Linked DNA regions of Rattus norvegicus. The protein of the gene in region 1 purifies or fractionates together with the protein of each later gene. This does not show direct contact. Links are inferred from orthologs where the notes say so. Each region holds a gene or a part of one and is shown in the gene's direction. Other genes may lie near its edges.

Region 1 (4,088 bases):
AGACTCTGAGGCATGAGCCGGAACTTGGTCATGCACTAATAAAGGGACTTATGTATTTTTTGTTTGGCTGGTTTTGGTTTTGGTTTTGAAGACAAGGCTTCTCTGTGTAGCTTTGGTTGCCTGAAACGTGACAAAGATCCACCTGCCGCTGTCTCCCAAGTGCTGGGAGTAAGGTGTACACCACCATGGCCCCACTGCCTCACATACTTCTAATTGGCTTAACTGGAGTCGTCGTGTAAATCTTTCTTCAGTGGGAATTTTAGCAGCAGGAGTGGCTGCAAGAGGGTTTCCACCACCTTTCCCAGGTGATAAAAACAACCTGAAGAATGGCGGTTGACGAGAGTTGAGCCTTCGCAGATCCTAAAAGCCAGGCCTAGGTTGGTGCACACCTTGAATCAGAGCACTCCAGAAGCAGAGGCAGGCAGACCTCTGTGATCCAAAGCCAGCCTAGTCTACATAATGAGTTCTAAGCCAGTTGGGGCTACACAGTGAGAACCCGTCTCAGAACCACAACCAGAAGCAGAGTGTGGTGGCGCATACCTTTAATCTCGCCACTGGGGAGGCACGGGCATGGGGTAGGCCAGGCTGAGACCAGAGCTAATTTCAGAACAGCCAAGGTTCCACAAGGAAATCCTGCCTCAAAAAACCAAACCAAAAACAAAACAAAACGAAAAATAACAACAAAAAAGGTTAAGGTCCTAATACATTTTAAGCTTAAAGAAACCCAAGATGTAATGTCTGGAGAGACCGCTCAGTGGTTAAGAGAACAGTCTGTTTTTCTCAAAGATCAGGGTTCAGTTCCCAGCACCCACATAACAGATTACAACTGTCTGTAATTCCAGTTCCAAGGAATCTGACACCTCACAGCAATGCACATAAAATAAAGTTAAAATATTAAAAAAAAAAATCTCTGAATTCAAGGCCAACCATTTTGTACCAAGCAGCCATTTTGTAAGATACAGAGGTTACAGTAAAGAGATTTCTGTCCCTACTCAGATAGTGCACATTTGGGAAAAAAAGAGACAAATGGAGGCAGGGACAAGGTGATTTTTTGAAAGCTCCGAGTTTAATACAATAGGACTCCAGACTGCTCGCTCACTGTTCCTTGCCTGTCATGCAGTAACTGGCCTGTGTCCACTACAAGAGCTTGTACAGGCCTCGCCCAGCCCCTCATGACGTCACTGTCCCGCGCCAGCCAATCAGCCTCGCCTGGCTCCGGCTGAGCGACTGTTCCTTGAGGAGGGTCTGTGGCTTGTGTTGTGACCCTGCTGAGCCACCATACCTCCCCGCCTCCGCGCCCAACGTCCGCGTAGCCGTTCTGCGCCGCCGCCATGGCCGACGTGGAGGACGGCGAGGAACCCTGCGTCCTTTCCTCGCATTCTGGGAGCGCAGGCTCCAAGTCGGGAGGCGACAAGATGTTCTCCCTCAAGAAGTGGAACGCGGTAGCCATGTGGAGCTGGGACGTTGAGTGCGATACCTGCGCCATCTGCAGGGTCCAGGTGATGGGTAAGCGATGCACGCGAAGTCGGGACCGCTGGGCGGGCCTGGCCGGCGAATGCTGGACCGGGCCTCCAGACACCGGATAGTTCCTGCAGGAAGTGGGCGTGACCGGGTTCCGGGAGAGGAACCTCGGGGTTTTCCTGGGCAGCCTAGCGGCCAGCAAATCCCACAGCGGATCCCTCTCGTGGATCTGAGGGTTGGGATGTTTAATGTTTTTGAGATGCTCTCACGTTCCTCAGGCTGGATTAGAGCTTGCCTATTTATCCGAGGTTGACTTTGAACCCTTGAGGCTCCTGCCTGCACCTCCCAAATTCTGGAAATTGCGAGCCTACGCCACTATCTGGATTCTGTCATAACCGAAATGATGCTCAGTCTGTTTGCTTCCGGATGCATTCGGTGGTGCTACTTGGCTGGCTTTTAAATTTTATTTTGACAAGACGGATCAGAACTTTCCTGTGTTGAAGCGAGGGCCAAGGTTTGCTTGATTCAGAAACTTCATCTTGCACCCTTCCCATCCTAAGACACCATTTCGTAGAGAAAACACTACCCTGCTATTTTGTGCCTTTTCGAAGAACTTCCTTTCATAGTCGTCTGTTTTAGTATTTTGAACGAAAATATCAGACCAAAATGAAACGTATCAAGACAATCTAGTTGAGTTTTGCACAGTTAAGAGCTCAGTCCACCTTGAAAAGAACCCTGTCTCTGTCTTTTTTTTCCAGACAGGGTTTATTTGTGTAGCCCTGGCTATTCTGGAACTCTGTAGACCAGGCTGGGATGCACCTGCCTTTGTCTCCTTAGTGCTGGGTTTAAAAGTGTGTGCCACCATTGCCAGACTCTTCCTCTTTTTTAGAAAGGGTCTATCTTGTGTAGCCAGGGTGTCTCCTGATGCGTCCTCCTCCCAAGTGCTACAATTTACAGAAATGAACCAGCAGGCCTAAGGCATGCTGGGGTTTGAGCTTCATCTCGGTACACTACCAACTGAGCTGCATAACCAGCCTGTCTTCCAGTGTGTTGGTTGTACCTGTAATAACAACACTCTGAAGACTGAAGCTGGAGGGACAGCAGTGCATTTGAGGTCAGGCTCGAACAAAACCAAAGCCAGGGAGGGACTGGAGAGATGTTTCCACAGTTAGGAGCACCACAACCACAGTTTGATGTTCCACACCCACCTGGCAGCTCATCACCCTCTAACTCCTGTTCCAATAACTCCAGCACCCCGTTATGACCCTTGAGGGCATTAGGCACATTTGGTATGCAAACACAGATGCAGGTAGCATAAACGTAATTTTAGATTACTGTGAGAATGCTTTACAAGGTGATGGGGGTGTTGATTGAAATAGATTTCTGTAGTTTGCAAATGTGCAATCAAGAGATTCTGAAGTCTTTGTACTCGCTTTTCAGGAAGTTTTCAACACGGTTCCAAACTTTACTTGTTTACTGTGTAAACACTAGTTTCTAAATATCCGATTTGACTAAAACACTAAAATACAGCTGTTCCACCCTTCTCCCTTGCTTAGGAACTGGGCCATAATTTCCATTTCAGAGTTGAGTGTGGTGACTCATGTCTGAAATACCGGCAAATACCGGCACTCAGGAGGCTGAGGCAGGGGCATTACTTTTGTTCTTTTTCAACACAAGCTTTGCTTAGAAATTTTATTCCTACCAGGTGTAATGGTATCTTTCATCTCAGCACTCAGGCAAAGATAAGCAGATCTCTGTGTTAGAGGCCAGCCTGGTCGACACAGCTGAGGCTAAGTAGGGGGACCCTATCTTACAAACAAATAAATAATGAATAAACCTTAAATATCTTTAATTTAAAAAGAGAGACTTTTTTAAAAAAAGAAGAAGAAGAAGAAAGATTTATTATCTATAAGTACACAGTAGCTGTCTTCAGACACACCAAAAGAGCGCATCAGATCCCATTACAGATGGTTGTGAGCCACCATGTGGTTGCTGAGAATTGAACTCCGGACCTCTGGAAGAACAGTCAGTGCTCTTGATCATTGAGCTATCTCTCCAGCCCAAGAGAGACTTTCTTTTAGCTCTTTCTTAGTTTAGGATGAATCTTTCCAAAGGGAAGTTTTAGTATATGTGCTGCCGAAGCGAGCACCCAAAGGGAAGTTTTAAAAGGATTTTTTTCCTTGGAAGGGCTATTTTTTCCACAAATCTAAATAGTAAGAGATGTAGATCCTAAAGTAACCAATGAAATGTTACAGCACAGACAGGTGCTTAACGTAGGCCCAAGTTTGGGTTATAGATAACTCCTGGTCATGTTCGTGGGCTGTGAGAGCTTAGTGCCACTCAGTGGTCAGGTGACCACAGGGAATTAAATTAAGACTTGGTAGTCCTGATCCCTGGCATTGTTTGAAAGGTTATTGTTGTATGCTGTAGAAATACTGTCTCAGATTAGGAACATCATTCACAGAACTATTTCTTTGATCAAAGTGTGGCAAATCTCTAACTTGAGACAGAGGCAAGAGCATCTCAGCATGTTAATTCAAGAGCAGCCTTGTCTGTAGAAAATCCAGGCCAGGCAAGATAAAACAAAAGGGGGAAAAAGACTTAAAAAGAGACTTAGAAACATTTTA
Region 2 (4,228 bases), on another chromosome or scaffold:
ACCCACAAGCTAATAATTATGCTTTCTCTGAGGCCCCTAAACACTCTGCAATTAGAAGATACCCAGGCTTTCACTAACCTCTTTTCTAATGAAATCAACTCAGTTCTTTTTCGTCTACTTTTACCTTTTTACTGGGAATTTACTAGCCCCTAGAAACATTGTATATATTCAGCACTAGACAGCTTGGCCCAGTGGTCCCTGACAAAACTATATCATCTTCAAGATATTTCAATTTTGGTCCCACACCCCCATTCCTGACTGACTTTTCCTAGGAATTAGTGAACTTATGTTGTCCACATAAGAGGTGACACCTGTGGAAAAGTCACTTCTGACTAACTCTGTGTAAGGTCTTCCCTCAGATCTTTGTTGGGCTAGTTTTTTGTCATTCACAGTGTGCAAATGTCATTCTCTGACAGACCTCGCTAACAATCTAAGAGTCCACTACATCCTAGACAAACCGTATTCCATTACTTTGTGTTTTTCTCCCCTAATCATTTTGCAGTTTCATCTTCTCTTGTTATGATAAAAGCAAAAACAAAAAAAAGTTCACAAAGTCTCTCCAACAACTAGAGTAGTGTCAACCCAGCAAACACTTGCTAAAATAATCAATGTATTTAAACAATTTAAACAATGTATCAGTGTTTTTGCATTTTTCCCGGTTCTTTTCATTCACAAGAAACCGCGAGGGTCGCTATCCTGGCAGGAAAGCCCTAGAACCCGCCTGGCGATCCCAAAGAGCGTGCTCTCTCGCAAGTTGGGCGAGGCGCAGACAGCCTGGAGGCTAACCGGGTCTCAGAGACCGACAGATGCACCACACGCTTCCAAGAAGCGCCAAGGAGCAGCGGCCAGTAGGGGCCCTCCTCGCCTGCCCTCGGCCCTGTCGCTTTGCCCACTGCTCAACCTGCCACCCACACGTCTCTCCAGCTACCCAGCTCAACCTGGGCTCAGGGTTACCTGGCTGCCATCCGGCCCGGCCACTCAGCCATCGCCCGGCCACTCGCACCCATAGCTGCCCACTCCGGGCCACCGTACTCCACGGAAGGCCTCTCCGGCCCCTCCCTCAGCAGGCGTAGAAGCCCCACTCGTAGTACAGTGTCTCTTAGCAACCGCTTCGAGTCTCCAGGCTGGGGGTGGAGCCTCGAAAACCGCCGCGGGGAAGCGGAGGGACGAAGTGAGAGCGACCAATCGGAGACGAGTCCTAGCCTCTACCAGCCCGCCTCCTCTAACTGTCGCGAATCCGCGGGCAGCTTTACGACAGCCAGGGGGTGGGGGCCCCTGGGTGAGGAGAAGGAAGCAACCAACCAACCAAGTCGCCCCCACCCCCTACCCCAACCCCCACCCACCGCGGATCTGGTTTACGGCTTGGAGCGCAGGCTCCAGTGCGGCAGCTGATTGGTTGTCGAAGGCTTGGTCCCATCCCAGTGACCCCAAAGTGCTGGAAGGAGGGGGCGGGGGTGGCCCAGTGCAAAGTGCATCCCGAAAGCCCCCTGTCGGGACACCCCGCTGCTGACACTTCGGACCTGGTACGATTGGTGTCTCTCTGTCCCCAGACCTCTTGAGTCCCTCGGTAGCTGAAAGCCTCCGGCCCGGCGCGCAGCAGACCCTTGGTCTGAGCCCCTGGACCGGGACTGCCCCCCCACCCCTCCGAGCCGGCACTTCCTCCCAGCACCCCTTCCCGGAGGCTGCTCCGAGGCCAAGACCGCCACCCCCAGCCTGATCGACTATCTGGATGCTCACCGGGCTGGGGCCGTGAAGCACTGAGGAGGATCAGGAACACGGTGTCCGGCCCTGCCTGGGGTGTTTCTTCAATGGAGAAGTTGGTGAATGTGGAGGAGGCTGAAAGGAGAGAGAGGAGCTGCAGCTGAGGACACAGGTAAAGTCAGTTTCTTCCTCCTTCGAGGGGAAGGGGCTGGCGGGGTGGGTGGGGGTTGGGGGGAGAAGCCCTGCTCCAGCCTGCCTGCCCTTGCTTCCCTCCAGCCCTTTCTTAGCTCCCCCATCCTCAGAGCCCTCTCCTCAATCCTGGATCACTGCACCACTGATTGGTTTCTGTTTTCCAGGTTTGAGCTGGTTGGAAGACACTCCCGAGCAGAAGGGGTCTGGCCACCCACCAGAGGAGCAATAAGCAGAGTGCTTTGGACAAGCATCCTCTCCAAAGGTAAAGAGCCAGACCTCCCTTCCCCCATTGTTTACTCCTGGCCCCTACCTCATTAAGTAATGCTTTATTTTCAGGGTGGTTGCCTGGGAATGTAAGCTTTCTTAGATCCTAGTTTCCTAGCAAAAACAGAAGCATTGCCCGTGCCTGATCCTTAACACCTCAATAACTTCCGTACTCCAGAAATGTCTTCTGGAACCCGGTCAGAGTGTTTCCGTGTTTTGCATTATCTTTTGGTATACTGTGTCACTTACTCTGCTCTGAGGCTTGGAGACCTTTTTGTAGTTCCTTGCCTTCCTTACTCTCATAGGAATTCTTCAATTCCATGTTAATTGCTTGTTAATTCTGAATGATGCTGCTTTTAATTAAACCACAATTTACTGGTATGTCCATGTACATTTTTTTTTTCTCTATTCCTCCATCAGGAAAGCTTCAAGAGTTACCTAACTGATAATGGCTTAGTAGCAGAAGGTGAACTGGAGGACTGAAACTAATTGGGTTTGGTTTTCCTGGAAAAAGTGACTGGGAACAGTGCAGAAACTGTATAAAAGCAATATTAGCCCCTGAAACAAAGTATATAGTTTCCTATGGGGTTTTGTGTGTGTGTGTTTGTGACAAAATGGATGGACACTGGAGTTGTTATAAAGTGATACATAGTATTTGCTATGTCTCTGGTGTTCTAGGTGAACTTATAAAAATGTACAATGTATCGCCTTGACAATAGTGGCACAGTCAGGAATTTTAGAACAAAGTATTGCTTGGGTATGTTTAGCTATCTGCTGCTTGGTTTTTGGCAGTGGTCATTCTTGTTTTCTCATTTTAAAACCCTTACAGAGAATTTACTAGATTGAAATGTAAGCACCTAGGTCATGTGCTCAGATTTCTGCTGCCTATTTTGTTGCTGCCTCCGAAAATGCCCTAAAGGTAAGTTTAGAACATTAATATGAAGAGAACATGTATACAAATAAACGAGAGGGAGAGATTATAAAGGACAACCGAGAGACTGCCTAACGGGCAAATCTATAACGTTTGTTATCACATAAAATGTTACTAATTTATTTTAGTATCTCAAATGGTTTTTGGAACTTTAGTACAAAGAATATTCAAAATGGTAGGCTTTTTATTCCTTTATATTTCCTGTCTTTTGCATGTTTGTACACACACACACACACACACACACACACACACACACACACACACATACACACACAAGTCCCTTTGATTCTACTGGTCCTTAAGACATAAAGATAATTTTTAAGGGGCTCTGAGGGCTTGCACATTTTTAAGACTTGAAACTACACACCAAAGAAGGAGTATGCTATGAATGGAACTTTAAAATAGTACGTATTAGCTCTTCTTTCTTCTTCTTTTTTAAATTTCTGGTGCTTTAAGACAGGGTTTCTCTGTGTACAGAAACTCTTTGTAGACCAGGATAGCCTTGAACTCAGATCTGCCTGCCTCTGCCTCCTCAGTGCTGGGATCAAAGGCCTGCGCCACTATGCCTTACTGTATGTAATTGCTATACTTTCTAGCCTGAGGAATGGGGACCCTGAGGCAGGAAGATGGAGAATTTGAAGCCAACCTGGGCTGGCTACAGAGGAAGACACAGTTTTAAAAAACAAAATGAAAAGAAAAGAAAAAAACTCCTAATATTCACCAGTGACAGTACTATGGAGGAAAAAAAATATATATATATATAATTTTATATATCAAGGCAAAATCTCAAGTTGAAGAGTGGTTGTTATTATTTAAATACAGAACTCAGGGCTAGAGAGGTGACTCAGTGGTTAAATATGGAACTCAGCAATATGATGCCTTCTGGTTACTGTATAACTTTTTAAAAATTGGTAATAAAATATTTGGATTGTATTTCAGAGATAGAATGCAGTATATATCTTGTATCTTCTTGGTGGGGTAGAGAGTATTTTTCTGCTTTAGAGTGAACCTAATTTGCTAGTGTTCCTAAGTGAGGGCTCTTTTTACCTGAGGTTGTAAATGAGGATCGCTAGTCAGACTTGTAAAGACAGAACATTGCTCTGTCTTGGTTCCCAGCCAGGTTATTGTTGCCGTTTAAGT
Region 3 (4,071 bases), on another chromosome or scaffold:
GCAGATAGAACTTGAGACCAGCCTAGTCTACAAAGCCAGTTCCAGGACAGCAAGGGCTACTCAGAAAAATCCTGTCTGGAAAAACCCTATCTCAATTACCCATTCTAAACTGGCAACCGTATCTTGTAATTAGGGCTTATTATCATCAACTCTTTTTGAAAGGATAATGGTCCTTCTGGGAGGCAGCAGTCACCTTGTTCTGAGATCAACCTGTTCTGAGCCAAACCAGCCATGTCTGAATCACAGCACAGCCAAGACTCTTAGAACAATGTTCACAAATGCTTTTATAATTTCCTTCCACTGTTTTTCTTTCTTTCTTTCTTTCTTTCTTTCTTTCTTTCTTTCTTTCTTTCTTTCTTTCTTTTCTTTTTCGGAGCTCGGGACCGAACCCAGGCCTTGCGCTTGCTAGGCAAGCGCTCTACCACTGAGCTAAATCCCCAACCCCGCTTTTTCTTTTCTATACAGAAATATATGCTTCTTAACAGAGAGGAGGGTACCAGTGTAAGAGGTGCTTCCACTTCAGATTGCAAAAAGATGTAGGTAGCAGAGATGCTAAACTACAATTTATCTAAATAACTTAGTTCCTACTGGTGAGATGCTCCTGAGCAGAGAGAAGGCCTTGTTGATGGTCCACTGCTTCACCGCGGGAAAAAGACCAAAGACAGGTAGGCCCCTATCATGTGCTCTCTGCCGACAAACACGCAGGCACATGATGCACACACACTGACATGTATGGACAAAAACCCGTAGAGACCTCGAGGCGCCCACTAGCAGACACCTTTAGAGGTGCACTTATCCATGTGTCCACTTGGTGCTGAAACTCACAACTGCCTGTAACTTTAGTTACATCCGATGGCTACATGGATACACGCACATGTAACCTAAGGTCTCACACTAGCATTCGGAGCTCTGTGTAGCTGCTCTTGTATGCTCTTGTAACCAGGCAGGGACTCAAACACTTCCCACACCAATCTGGAGCCAGCTCCTGTTATGCACTAATACAGGGGAGGGAGTAAACACTAGCCACGCCCCTCATCGCCATGCCTGTCTTCTATTGGTTGCAGAAGCAGACCTCTCCCGCCTTCTGTTTCTTCTGGCTCGGCCTTAGGACCTCCATTGGCTTAGGCAACAAGTCCTCCCAAGAGTGGCGGTGGGCGTGGTGCGGAGGCGTTAAGAAATAGATGGGCGAGCTTGCTAACCAATGAGCATGTGTATACACCTCAGCAACTGAGATTCGCCAATGGCGAGGTAAGGTGGGCGGGGCTCTGCAGCTGTCAAGCGCCCCCGGCCGGTGGGGCGTTCGAGGGACCCGCGGCGCTCGGGGACCCTCCGCCGCCTGCGCGCAGCCTGGGGCCGGCATGGGCGGGGTGGCTGGGCCGGCATGATGAGCTCCTTGGGCAGCCCGGTGCGGGCCTACGATTTTTTACTTAAGTTCCTGTTGGTGGGCGACAGCGACGTGGGCAAGGGAGAGATCCTGGCCAGCTTGCAGGACGGAGCAGCCGAATCTCCTTACGGCCACCCGGCGGGTGAGCGCGGCTATAGCACCCGGAGTTGCAGCGCTGGGGTGTCGGTGCGAGCGGCCTTTCCAGCGTGGGTTTAGTCTCCAGAGCGGCTGGGTAGAGCTAGGTCCCGCATGCTGGGGAAGACTGCGCTCTGTGGGCGGAGTCCGCAAAGCGGCTCAGGGTGGGCGTTAAGGGAGATCGCAGGTGCGAGCGACGTGTTTGGGAGAAGTGCGTGGGATTACGGGAGGCGTGGGCAGAGAGGCAGCGGACCATGGAGCAGAGGAGACAACAGTCTCGGAGGCTATAACCTTTGGTGCGTGGGACTGCAAGCAGAGAGTAGAAAGACTAGACTCCAGCCTTTGATTCCAAGCACCAAGCTCTGTGTCCTAATGGACAGGACTTCCAGGAGGAGGAGTCTAAGTGACCCTGTAGAGTTGGCTAGGGTGTAGGAAGGAACCCAGTTAAAAGGCTAGAGTCCAGGAGACTGGACACAGGTGAGACCAAAGTGTCTCAGGCTCCAGGGCAGCGAGCTGTGTGTGTCCTAGAAGCTTGAGGTTTGAGACCTTGCACCCCAGAGGAAGGAGACAGAGTGGCAGAATCCTGAGCATAACATCCAAGAATAGTCACGTAGTGATCCAACCCTCAGACTGTGGCTGTGTACAGACTTCTATGACTCCCTATTGTGTCATTTGTGGGGGTTTCAACCCACCTTTCTAATACAGACCCTGTCCAGATGCCTGCCACCCTCTGTTCTCCGGACTTAAAGACTGCTTCCTGCATCTCCAGTCCCCTGGCAATGCCACAAGGTCTAGCAAGGGCCTAAAACTGTGTGGTCCAATGCCAGTAACTGCCAGCCTGGACAGCACAGATTTAGACCTTTCCTTTAGGGTGTAGCTCTGTTGGACAAGAGAGCAAGGGCGTGTACACAGTCGTGTCTCCAGGTCCCGGTGCTCAATGACGCTCGGGCTTCAGCAGAGGCAAAAGAGTAAAATGTTTAACAAGCTCCAAAAGGGGAGGTGAGTCTCACAGTAGATGACTGATGTGGGCAGAGAGAAAGGTGTTAATGACGTGTGAACAGACTTGCTACTGATTGGCTTGAGCAAGGCCACTGCACTTCTGTTGCTTTCCTATGTATTCTGTTGTCAACATGGTGTAAGAGATCGCAGGGGACTGATGCCGTACTTGTGGCCTTTGATTTACTACCTATTTCTTCAAGGGCTAAGAAAAGACCATGAGAAGAGCAGGCCAGGTATGGGTCTCACACCTGTAAACATGGCATTCGAGAAGCAGAGGGGGGAAAATTGCTGTGAGGTTGAGGCTAGCCTGGGCTACAATATAAGACCCTGTCTGGGGAAAACAAAACCGAATGGAAGGGAGTAAAATAGGGAGGAGAGATAAAGAGCAGGAAAATAAACAAGTAGAGGAGAGACAAACATTAAGAAGCTTGGGTCATCATTTGTGACGTGTCACGGGGAGGGTCTCTCCGTGCTCTGGTAGTGAGGTGTTCACAGCTTCATGCTCCACTCTCTTCATCCATGTCCGGGTTTTGTAACCCACTTTGCAATTTCCATACTGCAGAGGTTCGAAACACTAATTCTGTTTTGTAGATATTAGATCAGTGCTCTGTACTCCTGCAGTATTTAAATGAATTCAGCGCTAGCTAACTCTTTTTTTTTTTTTTTTTTTTTTTTGGTTCTTTTTTTCAGAGCTGGGGACCGAACCCAGGGCCTTGCGCTTCCTAGGCAAGCGCTCTACCACTGAGCTAAATCCCCAACCCCTGGCTAACTCTTTTAACTATAGCTACTCCTGAGTTCCTTACAATGCTGCTTCACCTTTCAATTTAAAAACCTTTTCAAGTTGCTTGCTCTGAAAACACATTGTCTTCGGCTGCACACAGTGTTCTTAGACTATACTGCTCTTTTCCCCTCAATACCTGGTAACTCGTTCACTGTCTTTCTGGTATCTTATGTTGTCATGGTGAAAACATCATGTCATCTGACTTTCTAAATGGGCGATTTGCCTTTTCTTTAGGAATCTTTTGAAGACTGTTTTTCCTTGCCTTACCTTGCTCAATCAGGCCATGACTCAAAAATTTTGATATATATTCTGAATTCCTAGATAAAAGAATACTTTCTTAGTTTTGAGGAATTTGCTTTAGGTCCACAAAATATCTCCCATTGCTTTGTGTTAATTTCTCATTTCTGTTACGAAAAATGACTGCAAACTGGCTTAAAACAACAGAAATTTACTCTTTACACGAAAAATGACTGCAAACTGGCTTAAAACAACAGAAATTTACTCTTTACACGGTTTGGTGTAAGTAGGACCTCATTTCTACATGGAACTCTAGGAAAGCACCTTCTTGTCTTTTCCAACCTTCAGAACCTCCCTGCACTCCAGGGTTCTTGGCCCCTTTCTTTGTCTTCAGAGACATTGGTAGCCAGTGATCTTTCTCAGGTCCCTTCTCTCTAGCATGAGCTCTCTTACCTCCTTTTTTTTTTTTTTTCCACTTCAGAGGACACAGTGATAATTTTTGTCCACATCAACAATCTGGGACAGTATCTCCTTT
Region 4 (4,260 bases), on another chromosome or scaffold:
TGGTGGTGTACTTTCCCAGCACCTGGGAAGCAAAGGCAGGTGGACCTCAATGCGCTAAGTCGAGACTCACTTACATATGAGCCCCGGGCCAGCCAAGGGCTACATAAATAAGATCCTGTCTCTATTTGCACCATCCCCTCACCTCCCCCAAAAAAACTTTGAAAAAGTACTCACTTCCTATTTCTTCTGAGATAGGATAGAAAAGGAAATTATGGAGATGTGAGGAGAAAGAGGAGCCCTTTACCCAGGAACTTGGTTGAAGTCACTTGCCAACAGAGAAACGGGGATCCCAGCACGATTAACTGCTCAAAGCCTTCTTCCTTCCACACTTCCACACCTGCAATTTTCCAGGACTCTTACTAGAAACTTTTACAGGAAAAGGACACGTACAAGGCTCATGCAGCCAGTGGCTCCTAGCTTTATTTTGTCAGATTATAATTCCATCCAAGGTATGTCTGAAGCCACCCCATAATCTCATACACACACACACACACACACACACACACACACACCCCTTTTGAGATCTAAGTTGAGAACCATCAAAATGGTGTATATGGTAGCTCCATAAGGGTTGTGGAGCTATTCTTGGGCATGCCTTTCTTAGTTCCTTTCTTCTAAGTCTTGTGGTCAGAGTCTAATGTTAAACTATTTTAAATAAAACCTCAACATTGTTTCCATTAGTCTTAACAGTTTTTCTTTTTCTTTTTTTTCTGAGTCAAAACCATGAGTCTCGTTAGGCCTGAGTTTTGGTCACAATGAAGTTCTCAGTCTAGGGTGACAGCATGGAGTTTTATCTCTGTTCCCTCACCAGTGACACTCCCTTTTCTGGCAGCAAACTGGCACCTACTAATTCCACTCTGTTTCTACAAAGTTGACTCCTTTAGTGACCTCCTTTAGAATCATGCAGTCTTTATTCTTTATTGTGGGCTTAATTCACTGAGCATAGGGTCCTCCAGGATTGGCCCTGCTGTAACCTAGGACAGTGGTCTTTTAAAGGCTATGTGGATAACCACGGCAACGCATTTTGAGGTGTATTTATCTGATCATGCACATCTGGGTGGTTTTACACTTGTGGCATCCCAGTTTGGGATGGAGCAGAGCCATAAGGTTGGGCCACCTCTGGCTCTTTGCCTTGCAGCGTCATTGGTGTCACCTGTCCCGCATGCCAGTGGTGTTTGGTATCAAGACCAAACACCACTGCAGGAATCTCCCCGCTTTCCAATAAACACCCTCAGAGCCCGTGGCTCTGTTCCAGATTGTCTCACACAACTCCCCAGACCTGTGCAACTGATCTAATCTGGGCAGGAGGATTTGCTGGGCACCTATAGTCGCTAGCTCCCAGCTGGTGTGCCATGACCACACAAAGATGCAGACAAGTCACAGCCACGGTGCTGGGGACTGCGGCCTCGCCTCCGCCTCACCGGACGGTGAAGCAGCGCTTCTGTCTCCTTAAGGCGCAGCCTCCCCAGTCCACTGGGGTCCTCCCCCTGCAAGGTACCTTCCCTAAGCCGTGTAGGGGAGAATGAAAGGACCCGAAAGCGTCCATGCTTAAGAACTGTTCGAAAAAGCAATGCGCACAGTGTGACTGATGTAAAATCGGGAGTGCTCGGGGGGAAAGCCACCAGGACAACACGCCTTGGCCAAGTTACAAACACTGTTGGCTCCATGGAGACATTCTGGGCTGCCTTCACCTAACACAACTTTACAAGTTACTTGGAAGGCGCCGTTTGGATTCTCGAAGAAAGGACAGCAGCGTAGGCCAACGTCACTCCACTACCCTCAGCCGCTGCCGGACCGGCCCCGCCCACGTCCCGGCCTCCGTGGGCGGGGACAAAATCTACCAACCAGGAGTTCCTGAGGCATTCGAAGACGCCTCCACCTATAGAGGAGAGGCGTTTCCCCAAATCCCGGCGCTTCCTAGTAGACGCAGTTTTGTCAACCTTCCCTGATTAGCAATCAAGTCTATTAGCCAGACCGGAAGTGGAGGCCCCTGCACCCTGCGCGCAGAGCAGGAAGTACAGAAGGGAGGCGCATACTCGGCGGAAGCCGAGCTCCAGACACGCCCACCTGCCGGAAACGCCGGAGGTGTTTCTCTGACAGGGTTGCTCTTTGACAGGCTCGCTGAGGAGGCGGACAGGCGACGGGGTCTGGGCGGAGGCTGAGGACCAAGTAGGCATGGCGGAGGGCGGGAGCCCCGATGGGCGGGCCGGCCCAGGGCCCGCAGGTAACGTACGCGGCTAGGGATGGTGGGGAAGGTATTGCGTCTCCGGTCAGTCAGAGTGGCCCTCGGGCGTCCCGGGCTCGGGCTTCCGTCCTCGCGGGCCAGGGTCAATAAATGTGTACGTCAGGCTTCGCGCGACCCCAGGCGCGCACCCCCACCCTTGGTCTCTCGTGGACAGCCCTCCTACGGGGTTTCTTTCTGGTGGAGCTAGCCTTGTAACCGCCACCCTGTTAGCCGATCCCAGTCTGCGATGACCCTAGCTCTGCCATGGGGTACGGATTTTCTTCCAGGTATGAGCACAGTGGTCAGTAAAGGCCCTCAGAGGTCAGCCTTCGTCGGACAGGTTCCCTTTCCCCATCCTGCCAGTCAGCACATACCCGCTCGGTAGCCACTGGACAAACGTCCTCCGCCCCACCCCCACCCACCTTAAGGACAATGCTGTCCCCAGAGAGCTTGCCAGTGACACAGCTCTTACAGGGGCGCTTGATCCACCTGCAGCGAAAGGGTGACACTTGTCACCTGACTTAAAGAATCTCCACTTTGCCGTGTTGCTTCTATGGAACTAACAATTCCTGGGAGAATTTCCTGGTACAAGATCCACCTTGGGGTCTTTCTGAACCTGCCACATGTGCCCATCTCTGGTTTTGGAGAAGCACATGTTCTGTTCAAGGAGCTCTCCTAGGTATGCAAAAATCTCAGAAAGCCACAATGTTGACAGTCTTTTGTCATTCTTCCGTCCATCAATTCAACGAACATTTGTTGATGATGTATTATTTATTGGCTTGGCTCACCTGGGGCTGTGAAAAAACAAGACAAGGCCTCTACCACCAAGAGCTATGTTTGGCATTGAATTTGATCTCAGGAACAGACAAGATCTTAGAGTGGATTGACCTTTCATTCAGGAATGAGAGGTGGAAGAGAAGTGGTTGATTAAAGGACAGCTATTTCTTAACACATGAAAGGGTCCTGTGGAAGAAAAAGTGGTTTTACACACACCCGCCCGCCCTGGTCCTTTTAGTGCCTTTTTGTTGGTTTGTGTTTCCAGCTTGGGTGGAGGCGCGGGTCTTGAGTGCTATCTTGTAGGTATGGCCTTTGACTCTAGGACTTGGGGAGATTCTGAAGGTCCATTGGCGGCCTGGGCTGGGAGCATAGAGGAGAGGTGACCAAAGGGAGGTCCAGAGACTTGCTCAAGTCCTCTGATGCAGCCCACTTTCCTGACAGTTACCCCATGCATCTGAATCTTCCCCAACTTTGGCTTTGACTTTTATACCTGTTGGTAACTGCGCTGTGGTTACAGTAATTGAAGGAGGACCTGGAAGCGCTGGACAGAGCCCTTTCCAGGCTTGATGCATCTTGTTGGTCTGCTGTGCATCTGGTTATGGGATCAAGTGAACCACATAGGTGTTTGTGGACATTGTGCTGCCTCTAGCCTTGGTCTTAGCCCAGGCAACGGACTTTCAGAACCTGGAGGGCAAGGATACTTAATCATCACCACCGTGTACCTCTAGGAGAGTCTGTGGGGGCGCAAAGGATATTGTATTCGAATATGAAACAACTTCAGCATCAAGAAAAGACCTGTGTGTGAAGGGATATGCTTTTGAGCTATGCTTGGTAGCATGCTAGGACATCACTACAGGGTGGGGGACTTGAATCTAAGCAGTTAGAATTTGTGCTGTCTTTATAGCACCTATTGGTGCAATGTTTAACCTTTTCAGTTAGTTTGGGCTGTGATGTGAGCAAAGATGCAAGGTCTCCGAGTAGGTGGTTAGTTGTACAACTCTCCACAGACTACATGTCTTAGGTGGATTCTGTGCCTGTTTGCTACAGCTAAGCTATGTATACTAAGATTAAGATTTTCCTGGAGAATTGATTCTTTTCTCAATTGTTTTTTTGAGAAAACAATTTTGTTTTTGTTTTTGTTTTTGTTTTTGTTTTCTTTCTAGTCTGGTACGAGTTTTGTTATCTAGTATGGTAGAGTTCCTGCCACCTGTTATTCTTACTAAAACAACAAAAGCTATTTCCCTTATGTATATCTACAA
Region 5 (4,255 bases), on another chromosome or scaffold:
GCCTACATGGACGGCTGTGTACCACTTTTGTGCCTAATGCCCACAGAGTCCAGAAGAGGGCGACAGAGCCCCGTGGATTGAACCTGGGCTGCGCCATCTCTCCGGAAACCCGCCACCCTCCATCCCACTCCTTCCCTTTGGGAGATAGGGCCTCCCTACGTAGTCCTGACTGGCTAAGAACAGGACCTAGGTCCTTTCCAGAGCAGCCAGTGTTCTTAATTGCTGGGCATCTCTCCAGCCCCTTCTACAGATTTTTCCCCATTATTCCCTAAACAATTACCAACTTGATATTTACTCTGTTGGGTGCAGAGACATCTAGAACTGATATAGAGGAGCTGTGTAACCATTCCATGTAAGATCCTTGAATGCCCACTGGGTTTGGTGTCCTGGGCATCCCAGAACCAAGCTTGTGATCTCAACACTTGAGAAGTGGCGGCAGGAAGCTCAGGAGTACAATGGCAGCCAGCCTCAGCTATTCTGAGAGTTCAAGGCCAGCCCAAGCTATATGAGATCCTGTCTTTATTTTTTTAATATTATTTATTACATATAAGTACACCGTCAGTCTCTTCAGACACACCAGAAGAGGGCATCAGATCTCATTACAGATGGTTGTGAGCCACCATGTGGTTGCTGGGATTTGAACTCAGGACCTCTGGAAGAGTGGTCGGTGCTCTTAACCACTGAGCCATCTCTCCAGCCCCAGATCCTGTCTTTAAAACAAACAAGAAACTTTGTTCCGTGCCAGTAACTCTGTGGCAGATGGCAGGTGCCAAGCAGAGAGACCACAAGCCCCCACAAAGGATTGGAGCCATGGCTATGATGATGCAGCCTCAGGACCACTGACACCTACCCATAACTGGCCTTTCTAGAATCATCAGGGCCTTGCTGCAGGACTCAAAGTCGCAGCCACTCAAATTTGTGTAGGGGGAAGCTACCTGGTACAATTCTTTCTGTTGCGTCTCTGCTGCCTTCCCACTCAGGGTCTAGGGAAGTGATATTATGCCAATTTTACAGACCAGGACAGGAAGGGTCACCGAGTTCCTCCAGGAAAAGCGGGAAAAGTGGGCACCCTGTTTAGCCAGGGGGTGAAGGGACAGAGAATAATGAATTGTCCCCAGTATTTGTGGGGAAGAGTTAGGGTGCAAGGTCCTCATTGCGCCATTCAGTTCAGAGTAGAGAGACTTCCTTAGGAAGTGGCCAAAATCAAATAGGCTGCAGAAAGCAGTGTCCGGGCTCCGAACTGGGCCTATGTCACCTCGGGCAGGAGCAGGTCAGTAGCGGGGCCACACTCCCCCTTGGAGCTTGGACGCCCTGCAGCGGCCTCGCGGGGAATTTCAGGGCGGGGCGGAGCCGGGGCAGTGATGATAGTCGCGAGGTCCTCCCCGGCGGTAGGGGGCACTGTAATGCACATGAGCCCTCACAGGCCCTCAGGACAGGAAGTAGGGGTGGTAGGATAACTTCCGGTGCGGAACTGAGGCCTGGGAGGACGACTGCTCACCGGCGCGGGGTCTGAACCGGTAGATCGGGAGGTGGTGGCGAGTGGGTATCCGGACGCGCGGCCGACGCCATGCCGTTCCTGCACGGCTTCCGCAGGATCATCTTCGAGTACCAGCCCCTGGTGGACGCCATCCTGGGTGCCCTGGGCATCCAGGATCTGGAGCGGCAGGAGCCTCTGGATGAGTGAGTCGCTGCGGTCCCCTGTGGTTGTCGCGGCGGGAGCGGGAGCTGCGTGGCTGCGAGCTCGAGCGCCAGCCTGAGGTGGGCTCGCAGCGTCTTGCAGGGCAGAGGGCCAGGGCCCCGGAGCCGCTCCCTGTGCATGGATGCCGGAGGAGAGGTCCTGGCTGGGACCGACAGCGCTTTTTGCAGACAGCAGGCCTCTTCGAGAGTCTCTGGGGGAAGCAAGCCGGTGTGGTCCGTGTGCCCTGTGCAGACTTCCTTGGGTACTAGGAGCGCTACGCCTTCGGAGTGCTTGTGCCACCGAGACAGACCAGCACCCAGACCAGCACCGTGGGGTGGGATGCAGGGAGTAGGGCGGGGCAAAGGAATAGCACTGGGAGAGTCATGAGCCGGAATTGCAGACTTTCAGTCTCAACAAGGATGTCTTTTCTAAACCACACTAGCTCGCTCTTCTGCGGCCTACTCTGTAAATGTAGTGCCAGGCGGTTTCCAGAACTCGGAGGCGGGGCAGCAGGGCTGCACAAGGCGCTACTGCCCTCCCTTGGCGGAAACTAGCATATTCAAGAAGGCCGCCCTAGATAAGCGTTTGGTCAGATCTTGGATCCCACCTGTTGCAAGAGAAGAGGTCTGGTGGGTGAGATTAGGGAGAAGAGCAACTGAGGAGCATTGGGACAGGAAGGTGACTCTGAAGGTGGTGTCTGAGCCATTGTCCAGAGCTGGGGCAATGTATGGAGTAGTGTCCAGGCCCAAGTAGCACTTAGTAGGTAGTTTTGTCTAGGAAGGGTGAGAGCTTTAGGGCCACCCTCGTGGTGGTATGAGAGAGGACGGGACAGAGCCAGGCCTTTGACAGCAAGCTGAAGGATGGCTTTGAAGTCACTTCACACATTTGACCAAGAAAGAGTTGTGTCCCACAGAGCATGGGCAGTTTGTGTGGGTGATTGTGGAAGGGCACACAGGCTAGGGCCACTGGTCCCCAGGAGTTCCCACTTGGTCTTTTCTGCCTCTTGGTGCAGTTACGCTTCCAGTGAGGAGAGCCGGATCCTGGTCCTTACGGAGCTGCTGGAGCAGAAGGCCCACTCTCCTTTCTACCAGGAAGGTGTGAGCAATGCTCTGCTGAAGATGGCCGAGCTGGGCCTGACCCGGGCAGCTGCGGTCCTCCTGCAGAGTGGGGCCAACCTCAACTTTGAAGGTCAGCAGCGGCCTGAGAATGGGGGTGGGGGCGAGCAGGGCTAGGCAGTCAGCCCTGGCCTCTGCTTCCCCTCTTGTCTTTGGGGTGACTTCCCATGTTCTTTTCCTTTGGGTGGCTTTCTGGGGGCTCTTAGCACCTCTCCTCCCACATCTTCCAGATTAATCCTTCTGCTGTGGAGAAAGTACACTGGCAGTGCCCAGAGCTAAGGGAAGGTGATTTTCTCTGAGCTGTCCTGCAGGTGTTGCTCTGGTCCTAGGGGTGGGGAGATAAGCCACACTAGGCATCAGTGACGGCAGGCTGCCTAGGTTCTTTAAGCGTCAGGTCAGGGATGATGAAGTGTCAGCCACCTGCCTTGTCTCTGGCTGTCACCCCAGGAGGTAGGAGACAGGTGGGGCTGCCAGTGCTGACCCACACGCATGCTTTTGTGTCTTTCATTGGAGAACATGCTCAGAGGATGTAGGAAACTTGGGATCCTGCAAACTACAGATGGGGGGGGGGCTGGGGGAGGGTGTTCCAAAGCCCATCCACATGGTCAAATGGCCTGGCTGTGAGACACATTTGGAAGGCTGAGGCAGAGGGATCTCTGGTGACCTTGAGCCCAAACCAGGTCAAGGCTACCGGGGCTGGCCATGCTGCTGAGCTTGAGCACTTTGCGTTCTCCTCAGGACAGTCCTGAGGAAACTTCATCTTCACACCTGAGGTGGGGGTGCCAGGGAGAGTCTCTGAGGCTAGGTCCTTCGAGAACAGACTAACCCGAACTTCCTTGCCTTCAGACCCTGTCACCTACTACACAGCCCTGCACATTGCTGTCCTGAGAAACCAGCCTGACATGGTGGAGCTGCTGGTGCGCCACGGGGCTGATATCAACAGGAGGGACCGGGTAAGGGTCAGCTCCAATCTTGGGCATGATTAGTAGGTTCACCAGCGAAAGCCACCCCAGGCAACATGGCTGCTATCCCCTTTGGTTCAGATCCACGAGAGCAGCCCCTTGGATCTGGCCAGTGAGGAACCTGAACGCCTGCCCTGCCTGCAGCGCCTCTTGGATCTTGGAGCAGATGTCAACGCAGCAGACAAGAATGGTAAGAGATGGCTCAGAGGTTAAGAGCACTGGCTGTTCTTCCAGAGGTCCTGAGTTCAAGTCCCAGCATCCACACATGGCAGATCACAACTGTCTTTAACCGTGTTTCCAGGAGATCTGATGATCTCATCTGGTACAGACATACCTCATGTAGGCAAAGCACTCATACGTAAAGTAAGAAGAGTGCTGTGGTGGGAGGCTGGCCGTCCCAGGGACTGGGTACCTGATAAAAGTTCGGGAAGGACAGGCAGGTGTCTGGGTGCTGGCCCCAGTAGGTGGCATAGCCACAGCTGGCACCCAGGCAGAGGGTG
Region 6 (4,272 bases), on another chromosome or scaffold:
GCTATGGTGGACTGGTATACATAAAATAAATAAATCTTTAAATAAATGTTTGTTTCTCCCACTAATATTAAAAAAGCATTTTAAACATAAGAAAATGAAAAATACTGGGCCAGTGGGATTTCAGCAGCCAGAAGAAGGGTCCTGTTGCCAAATCTTCCTTTTAAGGGCTCCCAGTTGCCCCAGATTTCTAAATAGGAGGCAACTCTCTTCATTCCATAATTAGAAAGGTTTCTAAAATACAAAATGCAGATTCACAGCTGACCTAACAGATTGAGTGAGACCCACCTTCTGAAAGTGTCACGAAAGAGAATAGATCTTTAAGGGATAAGGAGTCGGGTGAGGCATAGAAGGCAAAAGATAGTAAAATTAAAAATACAGTGTTGGTAGAAGAGTGATTACAATTGAAAGAACACCATGCTATTCAGGCAGGTGGCTCTCGGTGAGTTCCAGGCCAACCTGGTCTACACGGAGTTCCAAGCTACATAGTGAGACCTAGGCTCAAAACCAGAAACCAAAACATTTGTTAGCACTCGTAAAATCTCAAGCACAGAGTTGTAGAACCCGATGGACTCTTACTCAGACTTCTGATAGAATTAGCGGTGGGATAATTTTAAAACAGGAACTGGCTAGGCATGGTTTGAAATCCCAGCATTCATGAGGCAGGAGAATTGAGTTTGAGACCAGCCTACACTACATAGAGAAGACCCTGTCTGTAACAAATGAACACACACAAAACCGTAAAATGGTTTTAACGTTTGCCGATGCTCAGAAATAGGAAACAGTGCCTAACAGTTGGGAAGAGTGTCTACTGTTCTTAGCCTTGCCTCAAGGAAAGATGCGATCTTGTCTATTTTTAAATTTCAACCACGCATTCTCTACACCCAGCAACGCCTTCTTTGTAACAGTGGAAAACCGAGGGATGGCTGAAGTTTCCGTTCTTAGCACATCAATTTAACCGTGTGTGTTGGGGGGGGGGGGCGCTAAAGGCTGAGACTGTGCCTGTGTGACTTAAAATGACGCTATGGATTCGTTTCTCCCTGAAAGCAACTGGAGGGGGTACTGACGTGACAGCAGCAGCACCGCCGAAGACACTTGAATGACTGTTTCCAGGGGAGCCACGTTGCTCATAGTACGAGTCGCTGTGTGCTCTGCAGCGGCTCTGTCTGGGTAGGAGAAGGCGTGATGTCCACTTCCGGCCCCCGCTGACAAGATCGGGCGTGAGGACTCTGGAGGAGGTGAGTGGTCCAGGCTGGGCGCCCAGGCGGAGGCGGGCGACGCGGGAGGTGCTAGAGTCTGGGGAGTCGAGCGGCGCGTGGGAGGCTCGAGACCGCACCCCGCTCCCGGGCCCGCGCGCGCGCGCGCACCGGGCAGCGCCACCCGCCGCGGGTCCGACCGGGGAGGCGCCGGGTCACGTGGCGCGGTCACGTGCTCCCCTAGCCCGACTGGCGGTCGCGGCGGCGGCCGAGAGAGGCGGAGTCTCGGCCGAGACGCGGGGGGTGGGGGGGAGGTGGCGGCGGCGGCGGCGGCGGCGGCGGCGGCGCCGAGGGCTGCCGGAGGCGGAGGCGGAGAGGCACCGGGCCGCCGCCACGGCCGCTAAGGAGGTGAGGCTGGGATGGGCGGCCGCGAGGGCCCGGGCGGCGGGGGCCGGGCAGTGGGCACGGCAGGGGCGGCGGGCGCGGGGCTCCTCAGCGGACCCTTAGCTCGGGCGGCCGGCGCCTAGCTAGCTCGTTCGCCTTTTGTTCCGGCGTGCGAGGAACTGGGCCGACCGAGGAGCTCGGGCGTGCGTGTGTAAATCAGAAGGCGTTTGGCTCGGAGCCATGTTTTTTTTCCCCCCTTCTCCTTAATTGTGCAGACAGAAAAATCCCTTCCACCGGTTTTCCCGGGGAGACGGGCTGCGCCGGCCCGGCCTCCCCACAGTCCCTCGTTTGCTCTGTCGGCCTCCGGGTCCCGGGGCGGCTCTCTTTCCTTTTTCTCTTTCCTGCTCTTCCCACCTTCAGCCAAGCGGGGCCAGCCAGCGGGTGAGCGGGGTGTCTGCAAAGCAGCCCGGTCACCTGTCGTAGCAGCTGCATGGAAATCCCGGCGCTTTTGCTGTCTGGAGCCTGTGCGGTTTCCTCTGGCAAATCACGGAGATTCCGCTCCCAGAACCAACCCTTCCTCTTTTGCTCTGCACTCTCTTAACCCAGCTCCTGATGCTGATGTGAAGTTTCACCGTTTGGGGACAATTAGCAAGGAGGTGTCCACTTCTTTCTTTCAGAGGCACCGCTTGCTTGGGAAGGTGAGAGCCATCTAGCTTTGTGGCTTGAATTGGATGTGGAGGGGTTGACAGTCGTCAGTAAGATTCATGTCACTTAGGGACCTGTTCCTTCTACCTGCCAACCTTCCCATGTCACTCTACTCCCTCTGGGGATAATCGTTTTCCCTTGGGGAGGGAACTGTTTTCAGGGTTTCTTTACTTGGGGACTCTGTTTTTTTTAAAAAAAATTCTTTTATTTAGATGGGGTCTTTTAGTCCTGGCTGGCCTGGGACTCACTGTGTAGACTGGGCTGGCCTAGTACAGAGAAAGCCAGGCCCACCTCTTTATTTTACACTGGTAGAGCATCTTAAGGGTATTTCCTTACGTTTTTTGTAGCAGGTTTTAGGAGGGGCAGTTGTTCCTAAGGTTTAGAGGAATGTAAAAACCATCCTGAGATTCTCTTATTTTTAGCCTGTGGGTTCTTTTGTTTGTTTTGTTTTTGTTTTGTTTTAATATCTGGAGTCACCACTCCTTGGTGGGAGTTTAGTTCTTGCAGGAAACCCAGAGGGATTGTGCCATATTCCTGGAGAGTTCCAATTTGGGATTGATGTGAAATGCCTGGGCCCATGCACATAGCCGTGGCAAAAGACCCACAGGGAGACTCCTAGCCTTCAGGTGGGCAGCTGGGAGCTGTATAGTGACAGCCACGTTACAAAAGGGAGAGTCACATGTGTCCTTTCTTGTGATCTGCTGGAGAAATGATTGTATGAGCACATTACGAATAGCCAAGTCTCGTCTTTACTTTCTTAATCAAATAGCCATTTGTGTGATGACAGACTCACTAGACAATGAACATTTCTTGAAAACATCGAAGAGCTCTGTGGAAGCAACAGTGTTTTCAGCGATGGGGGAGGTGTTGCTTTCCTGACTTGGATATATGCTGTGCTGAGTTACAGGAAGTCACTTAAGGGAAAATATTTTTAATGCTTGTGGAGGGTTCAGGCATAGAGGGTGAGTGGAAAGCCAGCCTTACCACTTGTTCTGAGGACTAGCGGTCTATTTACTGCATGTATCCTAAGTAACTTAGAAACGATGAATGTGGATCATACTGGACTTTATGGTTTTCACAGGGAGACGTAAGAATTGAATTTGGTTATTCATAACTTTTTTTCCTCCACTAAAGCTTCAAATGGAATTTTAACCCTTAAAAGGATGGGTGATGGATGAAACCAGCTTATTTATTTTAGGATGAGTGTTTCCTTCTTTGCTTCCTTTCATACTCCTCTCTTTTTCTTTCTAGCTGTATTTTATGTGTTTGTGCCTGAGCCTATGTATGTTCTGTCTGAGGACAGAAAAGGGTGACACATGCTTGGAACCAAACCCAGGTCCCCCGCAAGAGCAGAGGTGCTCTTGATATGTTCACCCTCTTTATAGCCTCGTGAAGAGAGGGTTTTAAAAAATGTATTACTATTCTTGTGAAGAGAGTTTTAAATTGAGCCATCCACTGTTGATGTTGAGGTCCTAAGTCATGGATAGTGGAGACTGCAACCTTTCTGCATCCAGATTTCAGCTTGCTCTGATGGTTTATAGAACCAAAGACTTTTTTCCGAGTGTGCTACAGGTTGCATTCAGGAAGGTATGGGATGGCTCCTGTGAACTTGGGTAAGGTAGGTGGTAATCAGTGGCTTCATGCCTTAGACCACATTCGTAGCATTCATATTTCTCCTGTTCCCTGTGGAGGGCAAAGGTGAAGACAGTGGGAGTGACTGGTTGGGCATGTATTGGCAAAGCACAGTTTAAAACCTCAGGATGGAATGCTGTGGTACAGATACTGCATGCCTTCCTGTTTAGCATCTATGAGGTCTCCTCACTGTCCCAAGACTATTTGCTTGCACCGAGGCTGTTAGAAATGCATAGAATCTGAGATCACAATGTCAGATTTCTTTTAGTTTGGCTGGGGTAATGTTAATTTAGTTAGTAAATTTTAGCATAATTTAAATATTTTATGTTAAAGTATATATAAATAAAAGCTGGAATAC
Region 7 (3,572 bases), on another chromosome or scaffold:
CCCCACCAAGAAAATGCCTTACAGCCAGATCTTATGGTGGCATTTTCTCAATTAAGGTTCCTTCCTTTCAGGCAGCTCTAAGAACTCTAGTTTGTGGGTCAAGTTGACGCAAGACTAGGCAGCACAGTGTATCCGTGCCATCACATTCGTGTGGAGTTCCGAAGAAATCGTTAACACCCCTGGGACTGGAACTCACGGACGTCTGTGAGCTTCAATGTGGCTGTGAGAACCTGAACTGGGGCCTCCACAAGAGCAGCCTGTGCTCTTACTGCCGAGCCATTGCAGCAGGCTCGCATCAGAGTTTTAAAACGTTAAAATTAGCTGGGTGTGACTCATACCTTTATAATCCTAGCATTTGAAAGTAGAGCTAAGAGGAACAGGAATTCAAGGCCAGCTCTTGCCTACAGAGCCACTTCTGTCCTAGATGGGCTACAAGAAACCATTTGAAACCCATCCAAACAACAATAACTACAGCAACAACGTTAAAATTAGGCTGGGCACAGGGTACACACCTTTAATGCCAACACTCAGGAGGCAGAGGCAGGCTGATCAGTGTGAGTTCAACCTAGTCTACAGAGGGAGTTCTAGGCCCTCTCTGCTCTCCCCACCTCTCTCTCTCTCTCTCTCTCTCTCTCTCTCTCTCTCTCTCTCTCTCACACACACACACACACACACACACACACACACACACACACACACACATTTAACTTACTGGTAGCATTATGTGATTTTTAAACTGTTATCAATAGACATCCAAGGAGGTCAAACTTCAATGACAATCTCTCCATGATAACGCAGATAGTAGTCTAACTTCACTCAGAACTAACCCTCAAAGCACACATCCTCTAGACAACGTGCCCACTAGTAGTCCCATTACTCAGGAGGCTGAAGCAGGAGGATGAATGGTTACCGCTTCAGCCACATAGGGAGACAGGCAGGGAACAATCTCAATCCCTACGTTCTCCTAAACGGGAGCAGTAGGTCAGGAAGGGTGTGAAGGCCTTTTCCTAATCTCAGGATCGACTTGCTCAGGCAGCGCAAAGGTCTCCAGTGGAGAAGTCTCCACACACGCAGAATCCAAGGCGATGACGTCATCAAAGGGTTAATTCTAGGCTGGGATGGGGGGAGGGCGGGGCACGCAGCTGTCAGGTGGCTTCGGAAAAATAAACTGCTGGGAGTCCTGGGAGGGACAAGAGATTACCCACCCAGAGTGTGCCCCACAAAACATGAGCGCTTGTCCACATTTGAAGTCATCACACACTCCTTGCCTGAATTCTTTGCAGACGGTGGGTTCCCAGGACGGGAAATGATGTGGCGGGCGTGGTCCGGGAGGTGACGATAGGGTTAATCGTCTCCAGAGCCCAGGGGCGGAGCGCAGGCGGGCGTCCTACGGCCCCGCTGGAGCCGGAAGCGGTTGCTGGTCAGGGGCGCTTCCACCCTTCCCTATCTGTGCTTCCACTGAGGTCTCTGAGGGGTAGGGGGAGCCCAGTGAGGTGCGGGATAGGGGCCGGGCCTTAGAGACCTCAAGGGGACGGTCCACGGTAAGGTCTGAGGGAGAAAAGTCGTGAAAAACTTGGGGGGAAAGGCGCGACGCAGATGGGGTGAAAGTGATGGGCCTGGGCGGGTTGGGGGACCAAGGGAAGATGAGGCTGGTTCGCATACACCGGTGAACGGATGGGAGCCTCAGGGAAAGATGCTACGCCTAACAGTCCTTTCTTTCTCCACGCCACTCCAGGGGACGATCCGGAGCTCAACTTTCAAAAGACAGACGCCCCAACAAGCCTGTTTTGAGAAGTTCTTCAGCTGCTCACCTCATGGGCCAGACGGCCCTGGCAAGGGGCAGCAGCAGCACCCCTAGCTCGCACGCTCTGTACTCTGACTTATCTCCTCCCGAGGGCTTGGAGGAGCTCCTGTCCGCACCCCCTCCTGACCTAGGGGCCCAACGACACCACGGCTGGAACCCCAAGGATTGCTCCGAGAACATCGATGTCAAGGAAGGGGGACTGTGCTTTGAGCGGCGCCCTGTGGCCCAGAGCACTGATGGAGTCCGGGGAAAGAGGGGCTATTCGAGAGGCCTGCATGCCTGGGAGATCAGCTGGCCCCTGGAGCAAAGGGGAACACACGCCGTGGTGGGCGTGGCCACCGCCCTCGCCCCGCTGCAGGCTGACCACTACGCGGCGCTTTTGGGCAGCAACAGCGAGTCCTGGGGCTGGGATATTGGGAGGGGAAAATTGTATCATCAGAGTAAGGGCCTTGAGGCCCCCCAGTACCCAGCCGGACCTCAGGGTGAGCAGCTAGTGGTGCCAGAGAGACTGTTGGTGGTTCTGGACATGGAGGAGGGAACTCTGGGCTACTCTATTGGGGGCACGTACCTGGGACCAGCCTTCCGTGGACTGAAGGGGAGGACCCTTTATCCCTCTGTAAGTGCTGTTTGGGGACAGTGCCAGGTCCGCATCCGCTACCTGGGCGAAAGAAGAGGTGAGATCTGGACTAGGTGTGTGTGGGGGGCAGGGAGGATACCACTTTTGACAATGGGTTGGGGTGGAAACTCGTGGTCGGACCACAGGAAATGGGCTTCAAGTCACTTAGGTGGCCTTGGCTCTAGCTTCACTTCCAGAAATTCAGAGCTTTTGGGTCTCCCTTAGCTAGGGTGGAGGTGGAGAGAGAGTTTGAGGATGTCTGGCGGGAGTTGCTTGCTTACCCTGTCTTCCTTCTCTGTCTCAGCGGAGGAACCACAATCCCTTCTGCACCTGAGCCGCCTGTGTGTGCGCCATGCTCTGGGGGACACCCGGCTGGGTCAAATATCCAGTCTGCCATTGCCCCCTGCCATGAAACGCTATCTACTCTACAAATGACCCTGTGGCACAGGGTGTGCTGGCACCCTACCGTGGGGACAGGTGGAGAGGCACTGCTGGCCTAGACAACTTAAAAGCTGGAGCTGAGGGAAGGAGGCTGGACCCCTTCACTACCCCTTTTCACAGGAACAAGACATAGAAATGATACTATAGGCTGTGGCAGCTTTGGACAAAAGGTTTTTGAAGTAAAAAAAAAATGAGATATATTGTCACAGAACGTGTTTCATTATTGGTTCTTTTTACATTCCACTTGCCCCCCCCCCTCGAGGCTAGAGCCCCCTCACTGTCTTAAAATTATGACAAACCATGTTTAGGCCCAGGTGTTTATTTCCCTTATATGTAGGATGGTTCACAAACACAATACAAGGGCTTCGGCACTACAGGGAGGGGATATCCCAGGCCTCTAAGAGTAAAAGGATCTTGGCCTTAATGTACACTGAAATTCAGACCCGAAGACTCTGAATCTCTGCATCACACATCCAGTAGGGCTTGGGAGTGAAGCTAGAGCCAAGGCCATCTAAGTGACAGGCCAAAGTGACAAGAAGCCTACTTCCTGTGGTCCAGCTGTGAGTTTCCATCCCAAACCAATGGAAGGCCGTTTTCACCCATTAGGGCCCAAAGGGACAGCTAGTTCTACTCCTTCCCCTCCTCAGGAAGCCATCTTGGTGACATATTTGATTTTACCCATTGTAAGTGGTAAAGGGATTGGCCTGGTCC

Evidence for each region.
Region 2: the proteins of Rnf7 (region 1) and Asb7 purify together in Homo sapiens (co-immunoprecipitation; 4 studies listed by BioGRID and IntAct, with this or other methods). This does not show direct contact. The link is inferred for Rattus norvegicus from reciprocal best matches to the Homo sapiens genes RNF7 and ASB7.
Region 3: the proteins of Rnf7 (region 1) and Rab40b purify together in Homo sapiens (affinity purification with mass spectrometry; 3 studies listed by BioGRID and IntAct, with this or other methods). This does not show direct contact. The link is inferred for Rattus norvegicus from reciprocal best matches to the Homo sapiens genes RNF7 and RAB40B.
Region 4: the proteins of Rnf7 (region 1) and Asb1 purify together in Homo sapiens (co-immunoprecipitation; 3 studies listed by BioGRID and IntAct, with this or other methods). This does not show direct contact. The link is inferred for Rattus norvegicus from reciprocal best matches to the Homo sapiens genes RNF7 and ASB1.
Region 5: the proteins of Rnf7 (region 1) and Asb6 purify together in Homo sapiens (co-immunoprecipitation; 4 studies listed by BioGRID and IntAct, counting the BioPlex papers as one, with this or other methods). This does not show direct contact. The link is inferred for Rattus norvegicus from reciprocal best matches to the Homo sapiens genes RNF7 and ASB6.
Region 6: the proteins of Rnf7 (region 1) and Tulp4 purify together in Homo sapiens (co-immunoprecipitation; 3 studies listed by BioGRID and IntAct, with this or other methods). This does not show direct contact. The link is inferred for Rattus norvegicus from reciprocal best matches to the Homo sapiens genes RNF7 and TULP4.
Region 7: the proteins of Rnf7 (region 1) and Spsb2 purify together in Homo sapiens (co-immunoprecipitation; 3 studies listed by BioGRID and IntAct, with this or other methods). This does not show direct contact. The link is inferred for Rattus norvegicus from reciprocal best matches to the Homo sapiens genes RNF7 and SPSB2.

What each region holds. Positions count from the first base shown.
Region 1 is NC_086026.1:105,924,606-105,928,693, reverse strand, and holds the start of Rnf7 (RING-box protein 2), read left to right. Parts: upstream 1-1,288; 5' UTR 1,289-1,331; coding exon 1,332-1,506; intron 1,507-4,088. UniProt on the Homo sapiens protein: Catalytic component of multiple cullin-5-RING E3 ubiquitin-protein ligase complexes (ECS complexes), which mediate the ubiquitination and subsequent proteasomal degradation of target proteins.
Region 2 is NC_086019.1:129,674,706-129,678,933, reverse strand, and holds the start of Asb7 (ankyrin repeat and SOCS box protein 7), read left to right. Parts: upstream 1-1,428; 5' UTR 1,429-1,873; intron 1,874-2,057; 5' UTR 2,058-2,155; intron 2,156-2,986; exon of another isoform or gene 2,987-3,076; intron 3,077-4,228. UniProt on the Homo sapiens protein: Probable substrate-recognition component of a SCF-like ECS (Elongin-Cullin-SOCS-box protein) E3 ubiquitin-protein ligase complex which mediates the ubiquitination and subsequent proteasomal degradation of target proteins.
Region 3 is NC_086028.1:107,154,576-107,158,646, reverse strand, and holds the start of Rab40b (ras-related protein Rab-40B), read left to right. Parts: upstream 1-1,271; 5' UTR 1,272-1,381; coding exon 1,382-1,526; intron 1,527-4,071. UniProt on the Homo sapiens protein: RAB40B small GTPase acts as substrate-recognition components of the ECS(RAB40B) E3 ubiquitin ligase complex which mediates the ubiquitination of target proteins.
Region 4 is NC_086027.1:99,566,441-99,570,700, forward strand, and holds the start of Asb1 (ankyrin repeat and SOCS box protein 1), read left to right. Parts: upstream 1-1,460; 5' UTR 1,461-2,175; coding exon 2,176-2,224; coding exon of another isoform or gene 2,225-2,229; exon of another isoform or gene 2,230-2,471; coding exon of another isoform or gene 2,472-2,511; exon of another isoform or gene 2,512-2,847; coding exon of another isoform or gene 2,848-2,903; intron 2,904-4,260. UniProt on the Homo sapiens protein: Probable substrate-recognition component of a SCF-like ECS (Elongin-Cullin-SOCS-box protein) E3 ligase complex which mediates the ubiquitination and subsequent proteasomal degradation of target proteins.
Region 5 is NC_086021.1:34,510,234-34,514,488, reverse strand, and holds the start of Asb6 (ankyrin repeat and SOCS box protein 6), read left to right. Parts: upstream 1-1,455; 5' UTR 1,456-1,567; coding exon 1,568-1,680; exon of another isoform or gene 1,681-1,758; intron 1,759-2,690; coding exon 2,691-2,866; intron 2,867-3,639; coding exon 3,640-3,746; intron 3,747-3,836; coding exon 3,837-3,945; intron 3,946-4,255. UniProt on the Homo sapiens protein: Probable substrate-recognition component of a SCF-like ECS (Elongin-Cullin-SOCS-box protein) E3 ubiquitin-protein ligase complex which mediates the ubiquitination and subsequent proteasomal degradation of target proteins.
Region 6 is NC_086019.1:49,086,414-49,090,685, forward strand, and holds the start of Tulp4 (tubby-related protein 4), read left to right. Parts: upstream 1-1,472; 5' UTR 1,473-1,601; intron 1,602-1,703; exon of another isoform or gene 1,704-2,275; intron 2,276-4,272. UniProt on the Homo sapiens protein: May be a substrate-recognition component of a SCF-like ECS (Elongin-Cullin-SOCS-box protein) E3 ubiquitin ligase complex which mediates the ubiquitination and subsequent proteasomal degradation of target proteins.
Region 7 is NC_086022.1:159,298,497-159,302,068, forward strand, and holds Spsb2 (SPRY domain-containing SOCS box protein 2), read left to right. Parts: upstream 1-1,377; 5' UTR 1,378-1,541; intron 1,542-1,735; 5' UTR 1,736-1,814; coding exon 1,815-2,478; coding exon of another isoform or gene 2,479-2,645; exon of another isoform or gene 2,646-2,724; coding exon 2,725-2,855; 3' UTR 2,856-3,072; downstream 3,073-3,572. UniProt on the Homo sapiens protein: Substrate recognition component of a SCF-like ECS (Elongin BC-CUL2/5-SOCS-box protein) E3 ubiquitin-protein ligase complex which mediates the ubiquitination and subsequent proteasomal degradation of target proteins.